Linked DNA regions of Danio rerio. The main gene of each other region encodes a partner of the protein of the gene in region 4 in a complex. Links are inferred from orthologs where the notes say so. Each region holds a gene or a part of one and is shown on either strand. Other genes may lie near its edges. The genes, in order: lsm8, lsm3, lsm6, sart1, prpf6, snrpf and snrpd3l.

Region 1 (4,088 bases), on a different chromosome or scaffold from region 4:
AAATCGTCATGAATGCAATAAAACAAAATGGGCTTTAAATGCTTTTCAATTTCTTCATGTAATACGGAAATTTCTTTTGACTTTTGGGTGATAAAATAGGCATTTTGGAGATGGACCTAATCTTACTTTTACTGTTAATTTATTACTTTTTTTGTTTTTGACTGAGAATTATCCAGAAAATGGATACTTACCAATATTTTCCCCTTTATACAAGTTTTTAAAAAATTTAAAATCTTGATTTATCACTTTTTGTTTTATTATTTCAACACCCGTAAAAAACAAAACAAACAAAAAACAAATATGCATTCAGTCTTTTTCAAGATTAAAAAAGCAGGTAATATTGCTGCTTATAGATGCCTGCAGATTTCCTAGGGAAAGTTTTCAACTGGATCAAAATGAAATTTTCTGTCCATCAATGCACCACAGAATTGAGTGGTTCTGCTCTTATGTTTCCAAGATCCAGCGCAGAATCGGTTTCTTCATCAATCTCACCGATCACAGCCCTTAAACACAAAATAATTTCCCATTTATGTCAACCAAATAAAAGAAAAAAATCATAAACCTTGCACTGTTCTGCACAACATAAACATAATTACAAGAAAGGAGTTTAATACTCACACATTATCTCCTCTGACAATATACAGTCCCAGAACCACCTGCTCGACCCCCTGTGAAGAGCTGAAGACCCGCTCGTGGCTTTCATCCAGGATGAGGTTGATTGCCTGATCAAAGCCTTTTAGCGTCCCCTAAAAACAGCACAAGTCAGTAAGCGATCTTCTTCATTTCTGCACACAGACAATGATTAATTGGTAAGTTCACCAAAAAACACAGATTTTAATATTAATTTATTCACACTCAGGCTATTCACAATCTAGGGGACTTTTCTCCTCAGTTAAACATAAAAGACATTTAAACAAAACAAAAATACAAATGAAAAATATGTGTCGGAGCTGTGAGTTACAAGTGATAATGTTTAGATTTTCCTAATACAGTCAAACACTCCCAAAGTGTCTTTGACTTGCACTTTATTAAACACAAAGGTGGATAACTCCCTTTAAAGTACACGAGGAAGACTCACCACGATCATTCTGCCATCCGAAGTGACAATAGCAACAGTCCCTTGAAAAAAATCACAGTCAAGGAAATTTCAAGCTCATTTTATGTATGCATGGTCACTCACTGCGTTTATTTGTTCTCTGGATTTGTGTTTATATAGTACACATAATGTGTGTTCAAAATCTCTATTAAGTATTTTATTCATTGACTGATTCATATTCTCTATCTATCTATCTATCTATCTATCTATCTATCTATCTATCTATCTATCTATCTATCTATCTATCTATCTATCTATCTATCTATCTACATGAATACAAATGGTCATGGTCAAGAAATTAAAACTTTTCTAGATTGTTTTACATATATAGATTATATTTATATACAGATTAACATGAATACGAACAATCAAATATACTTATTTTTTACGAAATATTTAAGAAATGAAAATGTTTCTAGATTGTTTTACATTTCTAAATTATATTTATTTATAGATTAACATGAATAAAAACAGTCAAATATGCTTACTTTTAACCAAAAATTAAGAAAAGTTTTCTAGATTGTTTTACATATATGTATTTTATCTATAGATTAACAAATTCAAACAGTCAAATAAACTTATTTTTACCGCAATTTTAAGAAATTAAAACGTTTCTAGGTTGTTTTACATAGATTATATTTATATATAGATTAACATAAATACAAAGGGTCATATATAATTACTTTTAACTAAAATTGAACAAATGAAAACTTTTTTTAGATTGTTGGATTGCATCTATATGTAGACTAACATAAATGCAAATGGTCAAATATACTTAATTTTATGCAAAATTTAAGAAATAAAAACTTTTCTACATTGTTTTACATATATGGATTACATCTATAAATAGATTAACATAAATAAAAATAATCAAATATACTTATTTTTACGAAATATTTCAGAAATTAAAACCTTTGTAGATTGTTTTGCATTTATAAATTAGATTATATGTATTTATAGATTAACATGAATGCAAACGGTCAAATATACTTATATCCAAAATGTAAATTTTTTTTTTTACTTTTCTAGATTGTTTTACATACATAAATTATATCTATATAGATTAACATGAATACAAACAGTCAAATATACTTATTTCTACCCGATATGCAAGATGTGAACACATTAATATGTAATATTTACAGTAAATAGTAATATTCCAGTTATATGATATGTCTTAATTAAATATTTGAAGACTCGTTTTCATTGGTCCAGAAAAAAAAACTCAAATATTTGACAAAAAACAGGCATCTATGAAGTTAATATCACATCCAGATAACCGATAATCATCTTGAACTGATCTATTTTGCTCAAGAAATGTATGTGCGTACATTAATATGCTATAACGTGAATTATAACGACGTATGATCATCAAAAGCTAATTCACTTGCTGGCGCGCCATATATATAAAGTTAGACATTTCACGCTCAAACACACACAATCAACAACAAAACACGGGGTATCGATCAACAACATCACCGCCGTGCTGTTCACGATGCGTATTAAAGGATACGGTGAATGTAACTCTCGAGAGCGGTGGACATCTTTTCTGCTGGTGCGTGTTTTTAAATCCTCCGGTGCTCGTTCGCTAGCTCCTACAACGAAAAGCATTCGTTCTTGAGCCGGAAGCGATAACGGAGAGACTCGAGTAGGCGATGACCGATTGAGCACAACTTCAGGCAGAACTAATGGAGTTGGAGCAACGAAAGCTGTCATGAGTGAATTAGTATTTATTTAATAAGCTTTAAATAACTAGTACGCGACAATAGAACACACATTTTAATGCCAGGGATGATAGAAGATAAATATAGTAAGAGTACAAATAATTAAACATTAATTAAGAAGCAAAACAAACACACGTACATAAAAATAAGCGTATAAATAATTAAATAGATTTCTTACAATTACACACGTTTACATCAATCAAAACTGTTAAAAATAGACCACAAATGGACAGTGCTAATGAAGTTAATTTTATAGTTTAAACAAATTAATGTGAAGTTTAGCCGTCGTGAGGGAGTGATGCGGTATTTGTCCAGCAGATGACGCGCTCTGGAGATTTCTGGTTTCTAAGGAAGAGAGCACAATACTGTTTCTAACGAGTAACTTTAGAGATTATAATCAGTTCTTGCTGAAAAGGCTAACTGTTTGAGGGTCAAAGTGGGGGTCGATGGAAACACTGGTGGTAATGATGACGACGGCACTTACACAAAAGTACAATCAATGGTTGTGGGATGATTTCAGACGCTAATTGTAATTGTACATCGCCATTATGGGAATTAATGCTGATTGAACTATATAAAAGTGCTGTAGTGGTTAAAAATAGTTGTTATACGGTGTTTTGCTACACACTAGCATGGAAAAAATAATTAAAACTTGTTAATATTCGTAAGGTACTGAATGTTTAATAAATTTGATGGAATTGTATGGTGGTTCTGGAATTACGTTGCTATTACATCAGAATCAGGGACTGACCTAACCAATGATGTAATGTAATGTGTATTTATATTATAGATCTTACACCAAAAGCGGTTCACAATCATGAGGGGGGTCTCTCCACACCACCACCAGTGTGCAGCATCACTTGATGATGCGACGGCAGCCACAGGACCACAGTGCCAGTGCGGACACCACACACCAGGTATTGGTGGAGAGACAGTGATAGAGCCAATTCGGTGGATGGGGATGATTGGGAGGCCAGGCCATGATGGGTAAGGGCCAATGGAGGGAATATGGCCAGGACACTAGGGTTACACCCCTACTCTTTACGAGAAGTGCCATGGGATTTTTATTGACCACAGAGAATCAAGACCTGGGTTTAACTTCTCATCTGAAAGATGAAGCAAGCAACCGCTTAGGACCCCAAGAAATTTGGGGGCCCTCAATAATTGCCCACACTGTAAAACGTTTCACATTGGTTAAACTTACAAACTCAAGTTCAGCAGCTGCCTTGAAAATGTGAGGCAACAACTTAGAGAGATTCTTTGTTTCA
Region 2 (3,998 bases), on a different chromosome or scaffold from region 4:
AGAGCAGTGGTGGGCCAATAAGAAGAGCGCAAAGGCAGGGCAAGCATTACGGACTTGGATTTGTTTACTGCAACAAGTTGACATGATAACTGTTTTAAACCATTCCCGAGCGCTGCATTTTTGCAGACAAAGAGCAGACAAACTGGTTGCACACAACAATTTTAAGCTCTCGCAGAAATGCTCCCAAATATATTTTAAGGTCGCATAGATAAAATTTCGGGCGCATATGCGACCAAAATAGTCGCAATTTCGAGCCCTGTTAATGCAAATATGGTAAATAAAAGAAAATAAATATTTAAAGAAATGAATATTAAAATAATAAAAGTATATTTATGTCAACATTTATCCTTTTTGGTTGTGCTGTTTAATTCACACAAAGGAAGTTGTATTCAGTACATTTTTGGTCATCCATAAGTTTATTTACCTCTGTAAAATACAAAACATTTACATTTTTCTGATCCCTTATCTCTGTGATTTGTTATTAAAATCAAACAGATTTTTCAATATACTGTTCATATATACATACGTACTGTTAAAATAACACATTAGAACTGCTGTAGACTATTAGTTTAGACTTGTATTTTAGATCTAAATACAATTACAATATAAATATTATTTTAATCCTCTGTATGTTTCCTTTCTTTTACTAAACACTTTACATACTACACTAATGCGTGTAGTCAATTATTAGGATAAAACATTTGATTATTACATTTTAATAGATTTTATCAATTCACTTTTACATGTTTTTATCCTTTATTTTCTCCAAAAAATCCACAGACCAAATTCATGTGACTTTAATAACAGAACATAATACATTTAGAGACATAATTGAACTTGAGTCTGTATAAAATGTAGTATTTTCCCTCAAGGGCAGAATAACTAGAGCAGTGGTTCTCAAACGTTTTTCATCAAGTACCACCTCAGAAAAAAATTGTCTCTCCAAGTACCACCAAAATGAGCAGTATTGAGATACAATAGCCTTGTAGGCCCAGTAAAGCAGCTACAACTCTGCACAGTTAAAAAAACGTGGCAGATTACATGAGAAATATAGGCTATATGTCATATGACATTATATACATCATTTTTATCAATTTTGAAATGTGTGTAGCATGTACATGACATATTTTATTCCTCCACGTACCACTAGAAGGAAGCCTGCGTACCACTAGTGGTACACGTACCACAGTTTGAGAACCACTGAACTAGAGTATATAATATGTACAATGTGGTAGTTTCTCTCATGTGCAGTATAAATAGAGTATATAATAACTACAATGTAGTATTTTCCCTCACATGCAGTATAACTAGAGTATATAATATTTATATAAGTATTTTCCCTCATGTGCAGTTGTAGTTTAATTAGTATATATATATATATATATATATATATATATATATATATATATATATATATATATATATATATATATATAAATAGTATTCCCAGAGATGGGTTGCGGCTGGAAATGCATCTGCTGTCTAAAAACTTGCTGGATAAGTTGGCGGTTCATTCCGCTGTGGCGACCCCGGATTAATAAAGGGACTAAGCCGACTAGAAAATGAATGAATGAACATAAATATAATAATGATAAATATAATATGCCTAATGTTTGCCTCAGGTGCAGGATAACTAGAGTATAATCTGTTTAATTTAGTTTTTTCTCTCAAGCGCAGTCTAACTAGAGCAGGGGTGGCCAATCCTGTTCCTGGAGATCTACCTTTGCTTTGTTTGAAACAATATTTTTTGTCATTATTAGTGCAAACTTATATGAGCGATTATATCATTAAATGTGGAGGGGGGCCTAACAATATTTTCCAGGGAAAAAGGGGGTCTCAGGCAAAAAAAGGTTGGGAACCAGTGAACTAGAGTATATACTAAAGTAGTATTTCTCCCGCACATGCAGTCTAACTATAATATTTAATGTTTAATTTAGAATTTTCCCTCACGTGAAGGCTAACAATATATCTATAAAAGTACTTTACCTCAAGTGCAATTTAATAATGTTTAATGCAGCATTTTCCCTCACATGCAGATTAACTAGAGTCTATAATATGTTTAATGTAGTATTTTCCCTCACGTGCAGTATAACTGTATAATGTTTAATGTAGTATGTTCCCTCACGTGCAGTATAATTAGTGTAACTTATATATACACAATGTAACTTAGTATTTTCTTGCACGTGCAATGTAACTAACTTTATGTAACATTATATAATGGTTAATGTAGTATTTTGAATCAGGTTTAGTATAACGTTATATAATATGCTTAAGGTTGTATTTTTTCCAATAACGTACAGTAGAAACGTGTATTTAATGTAGTATTTTCCCCTCGTATGCAGTATATTATGTGGCATTTCCCTCACGTGCAGTATAACTAACTTAGAGTATGTAATGTAGTATTCCCCTCACATGCAGTCTGCCACGCAGTTCTCTGTCATTCCTCATCTTTACATAGATCCTCTCATCCAGACTGAGCCGAATCAGATCCAGAGGCTCTTCTACGGTGTTGGTGGTCTGTTGCTGTAAAGTAAATTTCAGTGATGTATTTTATTTGAATGAAAATGTCCATGCAAACAATCGTCGTAGTTACAAGCTGCTTTAGCATAGGCTACCCGTGTGTTCAACTAGTTAAAAATAAACACAATTAATACGATTAACCTCCGCGATAATCAAACAGCTAACGAAATATTTATACAAAGCAAAAATTGCAAACCTGCTCAGCGTCGTCCGCCATCTTTCAAATCTACCCAGAATGCATTTTCCGTTTCTCTCGCGAACAAATCATTAGACGGAAAATGCATCTGCTTCCTGTTAGACATAGATATATACGTTAGATGTCGCCTACCCTGTTGTTGTCTATTGGAAGGAATGCGTCAATAGATCCACCATGTTAGTACAGGGAACCGCTCCTTTGAAATGAATGCAAGCTGTGACCATCCAAAGCCAAAGATATACACATAGGCTATGATCGGGAGTTTTCCCGGATGTCACTGTGCAATTATTTATTTATTTATTTTTTTTAAATTACGAAAATTATAATTTTTCATCCCTTTTCTACATTGATGGATCAGTGATCGCACAGACATTCCTGAAAAAAGCTTGTGTTTGTGAGTATGGAAGTACTATTCCCCCTCCCTGTTAGATTTGAAACACATCTCCTCCTGCTTCCTTTAAATTCCGCATTTTCATATCTGGGAAAGCCCATCTCACATTTCCTGCAAAGGAAAATTAGACAATTTAGTTGTATAGTGAAAGTTGTGAGGCTGATCATCTGGATTGCATTGTTATCAAGAGTAGGCTATTTGGTGTTTATTTATATGCAATTTTGCATATGAAATTGCAACTTTATCAATTAGGCAATGTTGGGGTCACATCAGTCCAACCTTTAACAAAACAGTCACAACTGGACTTGATTTGGTTGCTTTATATGTGTAAAAAAAAAAAAGAAAAAAAAAACTTATGGTGTTTGAGGTCAAACTGACCACACTGAAAAAAAATGAGAAAAGTGGAAAAAAAATTAAGATTATTTTTTTTAAATGAATTTTAAACCCATTATAAATTTTAAAAAGTTTAACATTTCTGCAAAGGCCTGGGTCTAGAGCACAAATAAAAATTGGAAACAAAAACTTTCTGAATATTAAAATTTTCTAAATATTTTCTTTTGCATGTCACACAACATGACAGTAAATTATTATAATATTTCTTTAAGAAATAAATAACAAGTTTAGCTTGCTGCACTTGAAATTCAACTAAAAGCAAATGCTGAGAATGTGTGACAGTCAGTTAAATATATATATATATATATATATATATATATATATATATATATATATATATATATATATATATATATATATATATATATATATATTAAAAAATAGATGCAGTAACCTGTGCCTGTGTTGCTATTCAGTTATGTAGATCGACTGTGTAAGCTGAGAAAATATTTTATAGCCTACCATTCCTTCTAACGCTGAAGGACTACTGAGACATTC
Region 3 (4,260 bases), on a different chromosome or scaffold from region 4:
TGCATGGAAATCAAAAAGTTTGATAACAAATATCCAAGTGTAAGAAAATGGTGGCAATACTAAAGGAAGGTTTCAGACTAAAAGCCTTAGATCAAGAGCAGGATACAGCAACTGAGGTAAAGTTGGTTTTATATTCGCACATTTATTTAACGACAACTTGCGACACGCTCCCTATATTGTTTCCCACGGTACTTTGAATATTTGATTTGAAATCATAAGTAAGTTTGACATGAAAACAACATAGTACTATCTATTTGACTGTGAACAATGTTGTACTTTTATAGTCATTTGCTGATATGATTTTACTATTTAGAATTTTCAAAGAATACTTTTCTAAAATTATATTATTAAGAAAAAAAGTGAGAATATGTGAATACAGGGCTCAACAATAAGGACTGCCCAATGGCCCGGGGCTAGTGTGCGAGATGCTAGGGACATTAAACAGGACCGTTACTGGCCTAATCAGGTCTTAAAATTAAGAAACTGTTATTTCAAGCCTTTAAATACTACCTTCTCAGTGAAGTTGTAAACACCATATTGCTTTTCGCTTCCTCTTATGTGATTGGATGATGTGAGCATGTTATTTTTTTCTAAAACTTGGTAAAAACCAGTACAGCAAAGAGGCGGCAACTTCAAATTATTAAGCTAAAAGAAAACGTCTGTTTCTAATGTCTTGGGTACAACATGACGAAAAAAATGTGATGTTCTGCACAGTTTGCCGCAAGTTTGGCAAGTCAGCCACATTTTGTTAAATAATTTTAAAGTGCAATAAAATACCTGCACATTTTCTATTATTTTTTTGTTTGTTTGTTTGTCTGCATTACACTATAAATTTTGCTTATTTTAGATTTATTAGCATTAAATGCTACATTCGCAGATGTTATTTTTGACAGAACATTTAAAATATGTGGCTAGGATATTTTTTATTACAGCTTTTCTCAGTCGCTTTTGTGCGTTTCTCACAAAACTAGTGCATTTCTGCACAACAGTTAATGCATTTCTCAAAACAATTAGTTTAAACTGCAAAACCTAGATGATAAACTGCAAAAATGCGTCACATGCTCAAAATGGATAGTTCATTCCTCAAAAGCAAGTATTGATGTTAATCAAAGTGCCAGTATCATCAAAATGAAAAGTCCTGACACCATTGTTTATGAACAAGATAGTCACATGGCTTTGTCCTGTTTTCATGATGACAGTTTACTCTGTACATTTTTTCAATGCAAAAAAAGTCAGATTTTGTTGACACTTCCTGAAAATGCTCAAGACAACACTGCATACTATTTGCACAGCCATTTGAAAACTACAGTAAAGTTAGACATCACTGCATTTAGTGAGGAATCGGAGTACAACAAACTGAATATGTATGTTTCACATTTTAACTGTATATACTCTTTGCAATTCTAATTTATTCACACCATTGTGCAAAAGAATACATACACCCTTATTTACAACAAACAAACTCCCTTTGGGTAGAGTTGTGCACAACTGTACACAATATTGCAAAACATATAGGAACTGAAACTAAAATACACACAAGTCTATAAATCAATCATGAAATTGTTCAATTTTTTAGACATTATCAGGAAAATAAAGATTTAATTTTTTTTATAAAATATTGCTTAACAGATTTTGACAACTAGTTCAACATTTTTGTATGTAATGACTCAAGTAATGAAATGAAAACTATTTGTTTTATATGGAATGACTACTCAGAATTCACAAGTTTAGTTGACATAAGCAGATGATAATGTTATAAATATCAGAGAGTTGTATGAAAGTAATTGATGCATGTCCAAAAGCATCTGCAATGTGTTGGAAGGAATGAGAAACTGCTAATAGGATGTGCACAAATGACTAATTATTTTGAGAAATGCATTAACTGTTGTGCAAATGTAAATAGTGCTGTGAGAAATGCACCAAAGCCACTGAGAAAAACTGTAACTTGTTATATTTGGTCAGACCAGTGAAAAGTTTCGGGCCAGTAAAAAAAAAATCTTTAGCGTTGAATCCTGGAATATAAAACTTACTTTACCTGACACAACTTTATCCATATTTAACTTGCATGTGGCAGTGAACTTGTAATAAATTACAATAAGGAAATTATGTTGTTTTCTTCAAGATTGACTTCCAAACCATCCTATTTTATTACCTCCAACACAACAAATATGATCAGTCCCTTCATGCATACCCTCGATAACTTGTAAATGATAAATGTAAAATACAAACATAAAAACAACCGCATATTTCAGTTTGTACCTCTGTAATCGACACCAGAGTTCAGTTTCACCACCACTGGCCTCCCAATGATCTGCTTCAGGAAATCACTTGGTGTCTGCTTTCGGAGACTCATTTTAGCTGAAAATGAATGACAATGAAGTTTATGAATAGCTCTTATAAAAATGAACCATGGCTGCATTGTTAACAAAAAGGATGTGACAATAACAACAAAACGTACTAAAGACGTTTATTTTAAACCACATAAGGGGTTTCCAGAAGAGGTTTAACCTTATTTGTTTGGAAATTGCCGGTGAACGTTATCGATAAGCGGCTAATTTAGCATGCTAGCATTCCAACCCAACGTATCACTTAATAAACGTGTCATCGTATATCTAGCAAGGTAACTACAGTGCTGCAGTTTTTTAAAACCCCACTAACGTCGAATGCATTCTTATATTAAAGCATACAACATTTAACGTTATTTACCTATGTCGTTTAGCAACGTTAACCGCACGTTTCGACTGAGCGACTGCTGACCAATGAGCTCGTCCGCTTATTCTAGTTCCATGGTGTGTACACCATTCAGCCAACCAGATGCTTCGTTAGAAAGCCAGTGTACGGAAGCCGACAAGATAGCGTTATCTCCTTTGACAAAGAATGCGTAGTGGAAAAAAGAGCCAGATCGACGGTGGCAGTAAAGACGGGGAATCGTCGCTTTTGCTACATTAGGACATAAAATCGTTAGACAAACAGAAGAATGACAGATGAGCTGATAAAAATGGACGAACAAACAGACGTATAGAAACCTAGACTGACAGACAGACAGACAGACAGACAGACAGACAGACAGACAGACAGACAGACAGACAGACAGACAGATAGATAGATAGATAGATAGATAGATAGATAGATAGATAGATAGATAGATAGATAGTCTGTCTGTTTGTCAAAGTATTTTGTGTACATTGTGTATAATAAGCAACTTCAGGTTGTAGTTGAGGTGTGGCTAAAACATGTAGGAAAAAAGAAGATCCTGTATAGCCAAAAGAGAGAGAGGGAGATGGGGAAGAAAAAGCTGTCTTTTGTTCACAGGCAGAGGAGGGGATGCACCTGAGAGACAGAATCATAAAGCACTTCTGGCGCATCCAGACAGTTTGCTTGTTAGCAGGGCATTGGTAGCCCTGAGGAGGCTAGAGGTTAATTTGGTATCTGGTGCTGTGTTAAACTAAGGTCAGCGCTACAAGTCCTTAAGTCATAAACAAGTGTGGTTAAGAGCCGTGTACACACCTAGGCACGAGTTAATGAATATTCAATGAGTATTTTTCCCCTTGTTGCCAGAGTTCACATCCTAAAGGAGGGTTAAGAGAGAAAAATGTGATCTAATGCATTTTCCTATCAAAGCAATCATTCATTTAAGGAAAAAAAGGAAAGAAATTGAACGAGTTTACAGATTTTTCGGTTGTGGCACACAGCACCGGGATTTTCAGTTGTAAACAAATATGGAATATCATGACAAGGAAGCTGACACAAGCACTATGATGCTTTCTTGACTACTGGAAAAGCGTGAATGGCTTGGCTTGTTAAGCGATACTGAATAAAACACAATAGAGCTCTACAGACACAGAAAGCATTTCACAAGCTTTTTATCTTTCAGTTTTGCCTGTTGCTTGGTAGAAGATGATTCTGTCCGTCTCACATAAAGAGGGCATTTTAACCTTAATGTGCTGTCCTTCAAAAAGTTTTCAACTTAACATTTTGTAGACTGATGTGAATGTGCATAAAATTTTGACTGGGAACAAATAAAAAAAGCATTTGCTTTTCCTCAGTCAGCACAGACAATCCACTCTCACCGCAAGCCTGTGAATAACCCCACAGCTCCTATGAAAACAGTAGCGTGTTGGTAATAACCGCCCAGTGATGCCAGATGGGACTGTTTTCACCCTGCCTTCAAGACGCTGGTGAGCTCAGATGGACAGTGGCACAGTTGATTTGCTGGTACAACCCGCCTCACCTTTCTAAGCCCCCAAAGACCTGAGAGGG
Region 4 (2,826 bases):
TAATATTTGGTTCATGAATGGGTTGGCAAAATTAACTGAAATGAGCATCCCTAACTGGATTGTTTGCACTTTGCAGGATTAAGTGTAAGATCATTTTACTTTGCTCAACCAGACGATTATACCAATTAAAAACGTCATTAGCTAGGAAAGGAGTGGTTTGTTTTAAAAATATATATTGTTTAAAATTTTATAATAATTGCTAAATACAATGTATTATATAAAATTGTTGTATTATAAATATGAATATAAATTAATTGACACTTTGACGCTACATATGGGCTTTGTTAAACTGTAAATGCTGCTGCTTCAGTGAAAACATGGAATTGGTGGTGATTTCTTTTATGATAACCCAATAGCATTTATTCATTCAATACAAAAATTATGCTTTTTTAAAATACTTTTAATAGTTTTTATTAGGAACAAATAACAAGTGGAAACAAAACAAATAATAATATTGATTAAAAACAAAAACAATATATAAATATACACATACATGTCTGTCTGTCTGTTTGTCTGTCTGTCTATCCATCCATCAATAACTCATTTCTAATAGCTGATTTATTTTATCTTAGCCATGATGACAGTAAATAATATTTGACCAGATATTTTTCAAGACACATCTATACAGCTTAAAGTGATATTTCAAGGCTTAACTTGGTTAATTAATGTTAACTAGGCAGGTTAGGGTAATTAGGCATGTTATTGTATAACGATGGTTTGTTCTGTAAACTATTAAAAAAATCTAGCTTAAAGGGGCTAATAATATTGACCTTAAAAGGGTATTTAAAAAATTAATAACTGCTTTTATTCCAGCCGAAACAAAACAAATAATTCTCCTGAAGAACAAATATTATTAGACATACTGTGAAAATTTCCTTGTTCTGTTAAACATCATTTGGGAAATGTTAATAAAAGAAAAAAAATCAAAGGGGGGCTAATAATTCTTACTTCAACTGTATATTTATTTACACAGACACACACACACACACACACACACACACACACACACACACACACACACACACACACAAATGCATAAATTCCACACATATGTACATACAAACATAAATATTACATTATCCTCTTCAAGAAATAAATAAAAAAAAAGTTTGCTAAACTTATTCTCAATGGTTCATAACCTCTAAAATTATGTCAATGTTAAAGTATGGAAAATTATATTGTCATTGTGGTGAAAGTCAGCCATTAACTCCATTTTTTTTCCAAAGATCTCTCTTTGTAATCAAAATGCATGTGTCATTATTTCAATTTCAAAGATGATGCATTTAATAGTTAATCAGAATGTGTAAAAACTCATTTAATATCAATTTAAGAGGGGAAAATATCCCAAATATGCGGATTTAAGTAATTACCAGCTGATATACAACACTGGATAAATTCTGCTTAATTATATTTAATAATCATACTTCCTATTTGGACAGATCATTTTTATTCCTAGAAAGTCTGAATGAGAAGCACATGGAGATTTCTGAATAAATAAAGAGATTCTTCACCCAAAAATACAAATGTACTCTCAATTCGCTCTCTTTTAAGATCTTCCAAAAAAAAAGAGGATATTTTATTTCTTATGTTCAACACAAAAGAAGATGCTTTGAAGAAAGATGAAAACCTGTAAACACTGACATCCATAGTAGAAAAAAAATACTATGGAAGTTTATGGTTAGCGATAAAAATTTTTTCAAAATACATTCATTTGTGTTCAACAGAAAAAAGAAACTCAAACAGGTTTGAAACAAGGGTTAGTAAATTGATTGATTTTTCTTTTTTTTCAGTATAGGGTGAACTGTCCCTTTAAGGCTGAGCTCTGTATACTATCATTGTTGTCAAACTATAAAGCTAATGTCCATTTTGCTTGTCCGTGCAGCTGCTGAAGAAGATGAGCAGCAGTGATACTCCTCTGGGAACCGTGGCACTTCTGCAGGAAAAGCAGAAATCACAGAAAACTCCTTACATTGTGCTGAGTGGCAGCGGGAAAAGCATGAACGCGTACGTATTTTATTTACACTTTCCTTTTCATTCTGTCTGTATTCTGTTCAGTAATTGGTTTTATCTTCTTCTTTTTGTTTACAGAAATACCATTACAAAATAAATCTTTATTCTGGAACAGAAGGACAGAAAATCTCACAAAATGCGCTCATTTTAGCTGTCTCCTAAACACAGTTGCAACTGGTGATGTATATACAGACATTGTCTTGTATGTGAATTTAAGTCCCTTATTTGATTTAACTTTTTTGTTTTGATTGACAGTTCTCTGTAGAACCTTATCTGTCTTGTTTTTTTCCCCTCAATAAAAACTGTTGCGATTTAAGACTGGGCTAATGTCATCTGAATATATATATATATATATATATATATATATATATATATATATATATATATATATATATATATATATATATATATATATATATATTTTTTTTTTTTTTATTTACACTGATTATATCTGGTGTGGCACAGTGGCTCATTGGTTAGCACTGTCGCCTCACAGCAAAAAGGTTGCTGATTCGAGTTGGCGTTGGTTTAATCCAGGTGCTCCGGTTTCCCCTCACAGTCCAAAGACATGTATTAAAGGTGAAATGAATAAACTAAATTGGCTTTAGTGTATGAGTGTGAATGTGAGTGTATGGGTGTTTTCCAGTACTGGGTTGCAACTGGAAGGGCATCCTCTGTGTAAATCATATGCTGGAATATTTGGTGGTTCATTCTGCTGTGGTGGATGAGGGACTAAGCCGTAGGAAAATGAATGATTATATCTTACAATGTTTTTCACTCAAGTTTAGATCAGTTCTGTTTCTTGTCCAATTTAAA
Region 5 (3,500 bases), on a different chromosome or scaffold from region 4:
TGAGATTTGTTGAGTTTATGTACTTTAACCTTAATGGAGTAAAAGTTTTATCATTTGCACGTTTTTTTTTTAATAAAGTATTTCCAAATAGAGCTATTCAAATCATCTGGTGAAATTAGATATAGAAATTACAATATATTGCAGAAATACAAGATATTTCTCAAATATATAGAATATTATCAACAGATTTTTCCAATATCATTCAGCCCTTATTGATATATTGAATATCGTTGAAAGTCCAGGTGAAATCAAAATTTAAAATCTTTTTTTTTTTTGCTGCTGTAAATTGTTAGACTTGGGGGGAAAAATCAGTGTGTTTGTTTTGGTCATCTTCTTTTAAAAATCTGACCTTTTTTCCACTCTGGAGGGGTGTTACGTTCTTTTAGATGTTATATTAAACTAGGAGTAGATGACATAACATACAATAGTTTAATGTGTGTGACAAGCGGATGGAGAAAAAAATAAACTGAAAACCAAATCTCACTGCAATTATTTATTGCCCATACATCCAATGAAACCAGTGAAAATATATAATACAATGAAAGAAAAATATTTACAATGATTAAATGATGAATTACCTGGGGGGAGAGGAAGTACTTGAATGCGCTTAAATCAAAGAAATAAATATAACAAAACTCAGTAACTGTTTTCACCAAACTAAACTAAATATAAAAAGAAAAGCATGAAAAAAAAAACATCTTCAACATACCAAACGTCTTAACTAAACTGCTCTAACTAAGAACAAAACATGCAGAAAACAGCACATTCTCCTGAACCTAATGAACTAATACAAAATATGCATCTGAATGTTGTATTTGTATATCGCACGACTTACTCACACCTACACCTCTCCGAGGTATCACTCAAACATGTCAGTTAACAGGACAAGTTCACAAGCAAACACATTAAATTAATCTCAAACTTTAGACAAGAGCATTAAACACAATCAAAACACATTCTCTCAGACTAGCCCTCGCAAGAGAGACTGTCCTCAGAGAGACCCACAGAAAGAATAAGAGCGAGAAGTGGCGAGAAGGAAAGAGACAGAGAGATCGCCATTGCAGTTTGGGCTCGGCTTTTAAACGCTACGCCAACCAGTGATTGGTGGCGCAAACCCAGCGTCAGCAGGCAACATCATCAGCACGAAATGCGGATCCTCCAATGCCATTCGTACCTGCGACACATGCATGAAACGACAAACCCACATACAAACAAACGCACACACTTATCCAAATTACGTTCTGCAAGCGAATGTTACAAGTGGCTATCTATCACTGATGTCAGTTTGACAGCTTGTGTGAAATGTTTAGTCACGCCCCTCTAACCGTTAGTTTGCTGTCAGTCATAGATGTATACACTAGATATCGCATAGGGACCCTGAGCATGCGTCAATAGAGCCTCTACATTGGTACAGTGCTCCCAGAACAAATGTCATTCAACCGCACTAGTCAAGACAGTGTTATTATGTGAAGATGCTGGACTTTAGCGCTGTCTATGGGTGTAGTAACGACCAAACAAAGAAAACAAAGCACAAAGGCAGAACATTTCATAGGTAATATTGAGTTTTTTTTCTGTTTTTGTATGTTCTGAACTTTTGTGCTAATCAGGTAACATTATGGATGATAGTCACTTACTGCATTCACCATAAGGCAAAGCAGCTCCAACTCGCACTAAACACTCGGCTTATGCTATTTTTGTTGAATAACAAACAATGCAAAAGAAATATGACAACGAGATGCTGCGCTGCCAGAAACTGGTATTGATGTCGGCTAGTGAAAGAGTCGTTCGGTGGATTCATTCACAAACGAATCGCTCCCTCCGTCAGTATGAGGAGTGAAAGCAGGAGAGGAGGTGTGTTTCAGGACATGATTTGATTAAATTTAACAGGGAGGGTGAATAGTACATTTCTGTACACACAAACACAAGCTTTTTGTCAGGAATGCCCATGCAGTCACTGATCCATCAATGTAGAAAAATAATGTAAAATTATAATTTTCGCAATTAGAAAAAAAAAAAATTACATATTCACATCCAGGAAAACTCCCGATCATAGATATATGTGTATATGTGTATATCTCTGGCTTTGGATGGCCACAGAACCTCCACTGTACCTTGGTCCCGCATTCATTTCAAAGGAGCGCTACCCTGTACCAAGATGGCAATGCAAGAAGTTTGCTCCAGTCTTCGATGTAATAAAATCTATTGGAAACCATATGCTGAATTTCTTTGTTGAGTTGTAATTCAATGTGCTCTGCAGTGCCACGGGTTTCACCACACGATCTGATATCGGTCCTGCTCGTGATGCCAATGACCCAGTTGATGATCGCCACGCACCTCCGGGGAAGAGGACGGTGGGTGATCAAATGAAGAAAAGCCAGGATGATGATGACGAGGATCTCAACGACACCAATTATGATGAGGTACATTTCGCAGGCGTCATATTGAGTTGATGTGCCAAAATGCAGCAGAATATTATTAATCTATGCCTCTATATCCTGTATCCTCTAGTTTAACGGCTATGCGGGCAGTCTGTTCTCCAGCGGGCCGTATGAGAAAGATGACGAGGAGGCCGACGCTATTTATGCTGCACTGGATAAAAGAATGGATGAGAGACGGAAAGAAAGAAGGTGAGCTTGACCTTTCTTCTGTCGTCTACACTTGCTGTTTATGTAGAGCGTTTGGGTTGATTTGACTAATGTGTCTGCAGGGAGCTGCGAGAGAAAGAGGAGATTGAGAAGTATCGTATGGAGCGGCCTAAAATTCAGCAACAGTTCTCAGACCTGAAGGTTTGTGTGGCTTTTATAAATATCAAAAAAAAAGTTGAAGAATCCTAAGATTCTTCAGAATAGTCCAAGTTTAGCGTGAAGACAAATAAAAAAGGATCAGACTATGCAACAGGTTTCCATCAGTTAAATGTTATGATTTATTTCAAAACTTGAACGAATGATCTGTCTAACTTTTACAGCATTTATCAATTAACATAGTGTAAATATTAAGGGTGTAACGATATTACAAACCGAACCAAAATATTGCGATACAGCAACCACGATACAGAGTACCGCGGTACTGTCATGCTCCTGCTTCCCATTGTTGAGGTTGACGTAACTTGTCTCTAACTAATTGAACCAATTTAAACACGTCTTTATTTATATCACGTCTTTATATTTGATTAAATTGTATTAGTAATGATGAGCTTTTGTTCTAAATATTATATTCTAAAGTTAGTATTTTCCAAGTACGTCATGTTATGTGACTTGACTGAGCGATCACTAGGCCCACACGGAATCTGCGCGCGCAGAATTCCGCAGATGTTTCGCAGATTTTCAGCAGAATTCCGCAGATTTCTGCTGATTTTTAGCCCATTATTAATTCTGTTTATTTACTTGAGTAAATGTGTAAATCAGAATTTATTCAGTTTTTATTCAGTAATTTATTACTTTTTATTTAATATATTATGGTTTTAGTTATGATACTCCGCTGGATACTCCCAAAATAATTCC
Region 6 (4,015 bases), on a different chromosome or scaffold from region 4:
ATAAAAACTTAAAATAGTTTAATTCTACCATCTTCGAAAGATTCACTTTTTTTTTTTTTTTTTTTAAATAGTTGCTTTAAGGCACAGGTGTCAAACTCAATTCCTGGAGGACCAAAAGCTCTGGACAGTTTAATTCCAACCCTAATTAACCACACCTGATCAAACTAATTGAGTCCTACAGTCGTTTGAAACCTACAGGTAAAGCGGCAGGCACACTGCACCCCTATAGACTTCCATTTATTAGCAAGTAAATGCCTTAGACAGGAAACGCAAGCTCGTGCCACAAGTTTCGCAGTTCGATGTGTTGGAAACTTAAAGCTTGGTGAACTCTGACCAATAGAAGATCAAAACACGACCTCTCTGTACAGAAATTTTAAATATGGTCAAATCGTAATCAGCTTGTTTAATCCCGCCCCTTTTTGCAGCACCAAACGGCAGAATTTCACATGCTCAAACTGTAGTGTGGGGAAGCAGGGTTGCAACTAAACTATGCAAGACTGCGGCCCTCCAGGAACAAAGTTTGACATCCCTGCTTTAAGAACTCTCCAGATAAAAATGGTTATCTAAAACATTTTAAACAGGGCATTGCAAAAGTATCAACTCGAGTTGAGTTTTATTGTCATTCCGCTACATCTGTGGACACACAGTGAAATGTCTTGCAGGACCACAGTGCAACATAAATAAACTATCATAAATATAAACAACCCTTATAGACATAAGAGCGATTTTAAACCTATACATAACTACATAGCAGAGCAGTAATTAACTATACATGTACTAAAGACCTTTTTGAGGGATGTAAACAATAACAATGGTCCTACTGTATTTTCAGTAGCTTCTGAGAGTCCAAAAAGTCCCACATATTGATAGTTACAATAGCTGTTATAATAGCTGTTATATAAGTTATGAATGAATCGCCTCTTGTTACAGATATGAATTGACAACAAGCAGGAAATATTCATGGGCCAATGGCATCACCACATTGAAACGGTCTATAAATAGTAAAAAAAAAAAAAAACTTTACGCATAACCTTAGACAGACTATACAAGTACTTTTATATAAGACAGAACAATATTGTGCAAAAGAGATCATTTAAGGTTGAAGGAAATGACCAGTTAAACAATTTGTGGTACAGTCACAGGTAAACATTGTTTTTTTTTTTTTATTAAGTCCTTGTAAGAGATCTAGAAAAACTTGCATTTAGAGAGATTAGCATTTCTACAGGTGGTTTGTCAAGCCCACTCACCTGTGTGAACCAATCTCAGAAATGCACAATGTTTTATAGAGCTATGAAGTGGTTGAAAGAGAGGGTCTGGTACAAATAGACAAAACTAGTGCAAGTGTGTCAAGGAGTGTTTATAAAGCCCACTCACTTGTGTAAGGCACACTCAGAATTGCTAAATATTGAGGTTTTCATATGAAGTGTATATGCTTGACAGCTAGGTTGCCATTACAATATTTACATTTTTGGCCACCTTCTGCTTTAAGCAGATGTCTGTGTGTGTCTAGCATCTCCATAATGGCATATACAACGGTATGTCTCGAGTTAAAAAGAATAGTTTAAATTTTCTTCCTACTAAGGAGCTGGATTTTCATAGAATCGTTAACTCTTTTAAACATACCTGCATGTTCATGTACCCATCCACTGACACCAGGTAGCCCTTGTACTCCATGCCCCACTTCAGCTTCACCATCACAGGCTTTCCTGTCAGACCATTCAGAAAGGGCTTTGGGTTCAGCGGCAAACTCTGAGGGAAAAGATCAGTGTTACACAATTAACATCATTCGAAATCAATCCCTAAGTGTCATTTTCAAACAATTCCATGTCAACATAATATTGTTCCTGAAGAAGTAAAATACTACAAATGTTGATGATTTTATTCTCAAGTGAGTGAAAAGCTTAGAAGAAACTTTAGCATAGCCTCCGGTGATGCTCAGTCATATTTGACCAAATAGAAAAAAAAAAAGATTTACATTTTGGGTTTTAGTTTTTTTTCTTCATCAGCTTGTTATAACTTTTAGTAAAAAGTTTTGACACTAGCCGCATGAATTTACACAAGCAAAATAAACAAATAATAAAAACAAAACAAAAACAGATACAATTGATATGACTTCATTTTAAATTGTAATGACAAATTCTCATTACTGTAGTTTGTGGTATAAAAAATCAAAACACGCATGCATACACACAATATATATATATATATATATATATATATATATATATTGTATAACTTCAATAAAACAATATAATAATTTACAGCATTAATTGTTTTTGGTTTCCACCAGAATTAGCTGCAAATAAGCATCAGTAATAGCAGAAAAAACTCCTTTAACGTTAGTTTTTATCTTTAGTTTTCCCACACATATATCATTTAATCGCATTTTGGGAGTCACCGACTAGGTTGTAAGAGAACAAGGAGGAACATTTATCAGCAAAGCTCAACATTTCTAACACAACACTGAAAATGACTGAAAACAACGTCCAGTCTGCGTTCCTGATGCTAACACCTAGCCGCATTATCAGCGTATTTATGAATGAAAACGTCTACGCTCTTTCGCCAAACTGAAGGTTTGGATACAAATAAAAGAGATAACGATGAACTTACCATGACTGGATTACTTAAGTAGTATTTTCAGACACAAAAATTGTTTATTTGAATAGTATAAGCTAATGCAGCACACTCGCACGCCTTGCCGCCGAAAGAGGGAAGGACTACGAGCGCACTTTGACCGCACGGCAGGAGAGAAGAGCGGATCTGCCCGCTGCGCCACTCGCTGGACAGGCGGGGAATAGAGCCGTGAATCCTCAGTTGAGCTGGAGTGGAGGTCTGAAATTAAAGAAATAGTTTATCCAAAAATAAAAATGTACTTACTATAAACTATTTCCGTTTGATGATGTCGTTGGCCCATAAACATTTCCTGCTTGTTATAAAACTGTTTCACAGCTGTATCAAGAGGCAATTCAACCATAACTTAATGTTAAAACAGTTCTTATAACATTATTTATCAATATGTGGCTCTTTTTAGATTCTCGGAAGCTATAGAAATTTAAAATGTAAAACAGGAAATACGTAAGGACCATTGTCTTTTGTTTAGATTCCTCAAAATTGTCTATATAGTCACCCTTGAGGGGTTTCTAACCTTAATGAGATTCTTTTTTTTCATTTGAAAACAAAAATAAGATATTTGGAAGTATGTTAAAACTGGTATTGTTGTTTCGAAAATGTTGGACACCGGTAACTATTGGCTTCTATTGTATTTGTTTTTCATCATATTATAGAAATGGTTACCAGTTTCCAAACATCTTCTTTGGTGTTCAGCAGAAGAAATAAACAAGTGAAGGGTAAGTAAATGAGAACATAATTTCATTTCATCACTATCCCTTTAAAAAAATTAATATGTATAAATTATTTTATATATTTATTTTGTACCATTTTTAACAACTCCCAAAACAGCAGCAGTGGATCATTTTATCATTTCATTCAACGAGAACGGAAACTTGCAATCATTTACAGTCTTTTAGATTTGTATTTGAAAGCACAACACATCTAATTTCTCTTTGATTTGTACAGTAATTTAGCTTTGCAAAACTATTGACCCTCAATTATATAAATAAAAAAAAATGCAAATATCCCACATCAATCATTTAACCGAAGACTTGCCCAGTAGGTTTTTGCATTTCATTACCATCTATTCAAAAGAGGTCATGTTTGAAATGTCATGTACAGTGGTGGATAGTGATGGACAATATTTTCTTCCCCAGAGAGGGTGTATATAGTTAGGTTAGTTAGTTAGCTAGCTAGTTGGTTAATTTATTTGTCCCTGTAGGGTAATTTCATTTGCAGTATACACTCACAGAGACAACTAACATTTCAAATTTGCCATTTATATAAATAAATCATGAAAAACATGGTACCCCTACTCTAAATAAATATCTAGACTACTGGCCATCAACTGCTACTGAGGGAGGAGGAATTTAAAAACTTAACTGCTTACGGTATAAATTAAGAT
Region 7 (3,975 bases), about 16 Mb from region 4:
CTGTAAATATAATCACCTTCTAATGGTAAAAATATATTAATTTTAGTCTGCAGAAAAACTTTGATTGACATTCTCTCTTTGTAGTGACAATCTGTCCCTCATTAGCATATTACATTAGTCTTGTTTTTGAATCTGCCACTATGCTGACACACAGGCATTTGTGGCTCCCCTTTTTAAAAAAGGGCTGGGAACACAATATCATTTGAATTTAAAGCGACAGTAACCAAAACGACATCAGAGACTTTTAAAGATTTCACAAACTTTATATCTTGTAAAAAGGGCCATAAAAAGTCCCCTTTAAATCAGTTTGATTGATGTAAGTTGAAATTACTAAAATTAAATTGATTCAACTTAAAAATTTAAAACAGCAACAAATTTTTTACAGTGTATTATGGTAATTACTTATATATTTTTAATGTATGAAATAATGAAATTATGATTTTTGGCTGGGTCAGTTGGCATTTCTGTGTGGAGTTTGCACGTTCTCCACGTGTTGGTGTGGGTTTCCTCTAGGTGAATTGAATAAACTAAATTGGCCGTAGTGTTTGAGTGTGGATGAGTGTGTTTGGGTGTTTCCCAGTACTGGGTTGCAGCTGAAAGGGCATCCCCTGTGTAAAACATATGTACGATAAGTTGGCGTTTTATTCCGCTGTGGTGACCCCTAATGAATAAAGGAACTAACCCGAAGGAAAGTGAATGAATGAATGAATGAATGAATGAATGAATGAATGAATGAATATTGCTATACTAATTTGAAAGATAAAATTGACATTATATTAAATTCAATTGTTTTTAACAATGTGAATAATTCAATAATTGTAATAAAAGTAAAATAAACATCTTATATATTATATCATAGCTGTATATAATACAATATACAATATTTAAAAAAAACTGTTTTAATAGGTTCATTCTATCGATTTTATTTACAGTTCTTCTCATATATTGGATTTCAAAGATAGATTTAACAAACTAATTACAATATGAATATTTAAAATTAAATCAAATTACTTAGATTAACTGTTTATTATGAATGTGACACTAATTTGACTCAGATTTAAAACACTAAATTAAATTATTTTAAGTAAAATGCACAATTCGATGCTGCCCTCTTGTGTGCGAGTCTTGAGATGTTTGCTGCGTAGTTTTAATACGGACTTCACCTCCCAGGATGCAACTGGTTTTCAGGAAAGGGCGGGGCTTTTGCTTTCAGGTGCATTGTGGGAGCGGGAAAACGTCGCACAAGCTCACGTTGTTCCGCTGCTGTGTTTCAACGAATCTGCAGATTCAAGGTACTGTAATGCTTTATGATTATAACCTGATAACTACGTGGGGTATTTTGCGTGGTTCTGTGCTAAAATATACAGTCCTTTTTCGATTATTTAGTAGAGGAACATATATTTCGGTCATTCATTGTTTGCATTCACGCGACTCGTTTGAGAGATCAATCTTGGATATTCATTAATGTCTATCGCTTCATCCTGTTATTGAGTTCAGTAACGTTATAAGTCAGTTTTTACAAGTACCGTAGCCAAATGATTTTATGGTGTTTCATATTCTAGCGTGGATTCTTTCCAGCTAACGTTACATGTTTAGAACATGATTCTTAAACGAATGATTCGTAAGAGTCGGTTCATTTTATTGAATCAAAAGCAAAAAAGGTATAATAAATCGTTCTAACGAGTCGGTTATTTTAAATTACTCAAAAAATATGACATATTATTTTTTTCTATTTAAGAGGTGACTTTGGGAGTTATTTTTTGTTTCATAAAACTAAACCTGGCTCTTATAAATAAAATCCAAGTCAAAGGGTAACCTTTGATATTCACAAAACATATACAGTCAAAAGCTAAAGTTAAATGTGTTATAACTATATATTTGAGTTAAAACTACACTCTGATTTCGACAGTATAAGCAAAAAGGCTGTAATGGTAATATACACTCACTTTTTACACATTCTTCATTAATCAGAAGCAGTCTACTTCAGATTCAGTGACGTTACGAGCTCCTCCCATGCTTACTGATATATATATATATATATATCAAAGACATTAAGGGGATGATACCAGAACAATTTTGAGCATGGTTGTTGGAAGATGTTGTAGTGATGCTATCATTGAGAAACCAAGTAAGACACAGGACAGCTAATGAAGGATCCAAATACAATTTTGATACCCATTATCAATAGGAAAGTAGCTAAGCAGAATCACTCTGCAATATTGCCGAGCAACATTGCTCAAAAATAGGTTTGACTAAAATGTAAGTCTGAGCCGTTTCATCTGAAAGAAACATACACTGAACTGATCTTAATGCATTTCCGTGTGTGTTTTGGTTGGTAAGATGGAAAAAATCCTAAACTTTATTTGATAGATTTAGAGCAGTAAGAGGGTAAAGATGCTAAATAAAAGTTTAGTACACAGGCAACAAATAGTATAGCAGGAATTTGACCTGACAATGTAAAAAATGCAAACAAATAACAAACTCTCCTTAATATGAAGAACTGTAATGTCACATGAGTGCAGCAGTCATCGGATAAACCCAAAGAAAGGGTTTGTGTGCCCGAGACGAGACGCATGCTGTAAATGCTCCACCCTCTTACAAGCAGTAGCTCATTTGCATTAAATAGGACACACAACAACTGTGTTTGGGGGGCATTTACAGCATCAGTCTGTGGAAGAAACTGAGCATTATGTACAGTATTACCTTAAACCCCCAGCCTGTGCACATGTTTAGCCTTTTCATTAAGGTCTCCCGGTGACATAATGATGTGCATGTTGTCGTCAATATTGTGGATGGGATGAGGTTGAATTATCAGCAAATTTTCACTTTGAAAGAACTATCCCTTTTATAACCATTGGTCAGTGTCTGTTGTCTATATATATATATATATATATATATATATATATATATATATATATATATATATATATATATATATATATATATACACATACATACATACATACACCACACACACACACACACACACACACACACACACACATACACACACACACACACACACACACACACACATACACACACACACACATATATATACACACACACACACACACATAGATAGATATATAGATGTATAGATAATATTTTTTTGGTAATTTTGTTTTTTTTGTCCCACAGTTCAAAACATGTCTATTGGCGTACCCATCAAAGTCCTGCATGAAGCAGAGGGTCACATTGTGACCTGTGAGACAAACACAGGTGAAGTGTACAGGGGAAAACTGATCGAAGCAGAGGATAACATGAACTGCCAGGTACTGCTGAACTGAAGAACAGTTTATCCCACTAAAATCGCATTCTTTTAATGTCTGTTGTCTCGAGTCATGCAACTGACTGCGTTTCTGTTGTGCTGCGAATCAGATGTCCAACATTACAGTGACCTATCGAGATGGCAGAGTGTCACAGCTCGAGCAGGTCTACATCCGTGGCAGCAAAATCCGCTTTCTCATTCTGCCTGACATGTTGAAAAACGCCCCCATGTTGAAGAGCATGAAAAACAAAAACCAAGGAGCAGGAGCCGGTAGAGGAAAAGCTGCTATTCTCAAAGCTCAAGGTTAGTTATTTTAAAAAAAGTTACCTTTTTTTTTAAATTCATTACAGTGTTTGCAGTCATATTGTGTAATTTTTGAGCCTTACTTTGCATTGCATTGGCAATGATTGTAAGCTGCGCCAGAGATGCCTTGAGACGGCATATTTTCCATTAAGCTATTGTTTACATTAAAATATTTGTTTACAAAAGATGCAAGAAATGCAATTGCTGTTCAAAATATTATTTACAGGATATACAAGAGCTATTTTATTTAAAAGAGATATGGCTAGTTTTATACTTTTAATATGAAAAGCACAGAAAATAATTTATTTTGTTTTCAAAAGTGCAAGTTATTTATTTTCAGAAAACTGACTGTTGGTTTTAGGTAATGTGTGTTTTAAATTGAGATCTTCAGTGTTGATGAT

What was found.
Region 1: sart1 (region 4) and lsm8 share a complex: the UniProt entries of both Homo sapiens proteins name them as parts of the U4/U6-U5 tri-snRNP complex. The link is inferred for Danio rerio from reciprocal best matches to the Homo sapiens genes SART1 and LSM8.
Region 2: sart1 (region 4) and lsm3 share a complex: the UniProt entries of both Homo sapiens proteins name them as parts of the U4/U6-U5 tri-snRNP complex. The link is inferred for Danio rerio from reciprocal best matches to the Homo sapiens genes SART1 and LSM3.
Region 3: sart1 (region 4) and lsm6 share a complex: the UniProt entries of both Homo sapiens proteins name them as parts of the U4/U6-U5 tri-snRNP complex. The link is inferred for Danio rerio from reciprocal best matches to the Homo sapiens genes SART1 and LSM6.
Region 5: sart1 (region 4) and prpf6 share a complex: the UniProt entries of both Homo sapiens proteins name them as parts of the U4/U6-U5 tri-snRNP complex. The link is inferred for Danio rerio from reciprocal best matches to the Homo sapiens genes SART1 and PRPF6.
Region 6: sart1 (region 4) and snrpf share a complex: the UniProt entries of both Homo sapiens proteins name them as parts of the U4/U6-U5 tri-snRNP complex. The link is inferred for Danio rerio from reciprocal best matches to the Homo sapiens genes SART1 and SNRPF.
Region 7: sart1 (region 4) and snrpd3l share a complex: the UniProt entries of both Homo sapiens proteins name them as parts of the U4/U6-U5 tri-snRNP complex. The link is inferred for Danio rerio from reciprocal best matches to the Homo sapiens genes SART1 and SNRPD3.

The regions. Positions count from the first base shown.
Region 1 is NC_133179.1:10,099,675-10,103,762, reverse strand, and holds lsm8 (LSM8 homolog, U6 small nuclear RNA associated), read right to left. Parts: upstream 2,801-4,088; 5' UTR 2,641-2,800; coding exon 2,610-2,640; intron 1,120-2,609; coding exon 1,079-1,119; intron 747-1,078; coding exon 619-746; intron 504-618; coding exon 413-503; 3' UTR 238-412; downstream 1-237. UniProt on the Homo sapiens protein: Plays a role in pre-mRNA splicing as component of the U4/U6-U5 tri-snRNP complex that is involved in spliceosome assembly, and as component of the precatalytic spliceosome (spliceosome B complex).
Region 2 is NC_133197.1:33,572,435-33,576,432, forward strand, and holds the start of lsm3 (U6 snRNA-associated Sm-like protein LSm3), read right to left. Parts: upstream 2,801-3,998; 5' UTR 2,738-2,800; coding exon 2,717-2,737; intron 2,524-2,716; coding exon 2,413-2,523; intron 1-2,412. UniProt on the Homo sapiens protein: Plays a role in pre-mRNA splicing as component of the U4/U6-U5 tri-snRNP complex that is involved in spliceosome assembly, and as component of the precatalytic spliceosome (spliceosome B complex).
Region 3 is NC_133176.1:39,344,495-39,348,754, reverse strand, and holds the start of lsm6 (U6 snRNA-associated Sm-like protein LSm6), read right to left. Parts: upstream 2,801-4,260; 5' UTR 2,707-2,800; exon of another isoform or gene 2,484-2,706; coding exon of another isoform or gene 2,459-2,483; intron 2,359-2,458; coding exon of another isoform or gene 2,354-2,358; coding exon 2,260-2,353; intron 1-2,259. UniProt on the Homo sapiens protein: Plays a role in pre-mRNA splicing as component of the U4/U6-U5 tri-snRNP complex that is involved in spliceosome assembly, and as component of the precatalytic spliceosome (spliceosome B complex).
Region 4 is NC_133196.1:30,364,959-30,367,784, forward strand, and holds the end of sart1 (U4/U6.U5 tri-snRNP-associated protein 1), read left to right. Parts: intron 1-1,882; coding exon 1,883-2,004; intron 2,005-2,088; coding exon 2,089-2,107; 3' UTR 2,108-2,326; downstream 2,327-2,826. UniProt on the Homo sapiens protein: Plays a role in mRNA splicing as a component of the U4/U6-U5 tri-snRNP, one of the building blocks of the spliceosome. May also bind to DNA.
Region 5 is NC_133198.1:7,083,188-7,086,687, reverse strand, and holds part of prpf6 (pre-mRNA-processing factor 6), read left to right. Parts: intron 1-2,257; coding exon 2,258-2,420; intron 2,421-2,508; coding exon 2,509-2,627; intron 2,628-2,707; coding exon 2,708-2,786; intron 2,787-3,500. UniProt on the Homo sapiens protein: Involved in pre-mRNA splicing as component of the U4/U6-U5 tri-snRNP complex, one of the building blocks of the spliceosome.
Region 6 is NC_133182.1:19,364,115-19,368,129, reverse strand, and holds the start of snrpf (small nuclear ribonucleoprotein F), read right to left. Parts: upstream 2,801-4,015; 5' UTR 2,614-2,800; coding exon 2,611-2,613; intron 1,750-2,610; coding exon 1,624-1,749; intron 1-1,623. UniProt on the Homo sapiens protein: Plays a role in pre-mRNA splicing as a core component of the spliceosomal U1, U2, U4 and U5 small nuclear ribonucleoproteins (snRNPs), the building blocks of the spliceosome.
Region 7 is NC_133196.1:14,700,351-14,704,325, forward strand, and holds the start of snrpd3l (small nuclear ribonucleoprotein D3 polypeptide, like), read left to right. Parts: upstream 1-1,175; 5' UTR 1,176-1,292; intron 1,293-3,141; 5' UTR 3,142-3,149; coding exon 3,150-3,275; intron 3,276-3,381; coding exon 3,382-3,574; intron 3,575-3,975. UniProt on the Homo sapiens protein: Plays a role in pre-mRNA splicing as a core component of the spliceosomal U1, U2, U4 and U5 small nuclear ribonucleoproteins (snRNPs), the building blocks of the spliceosome.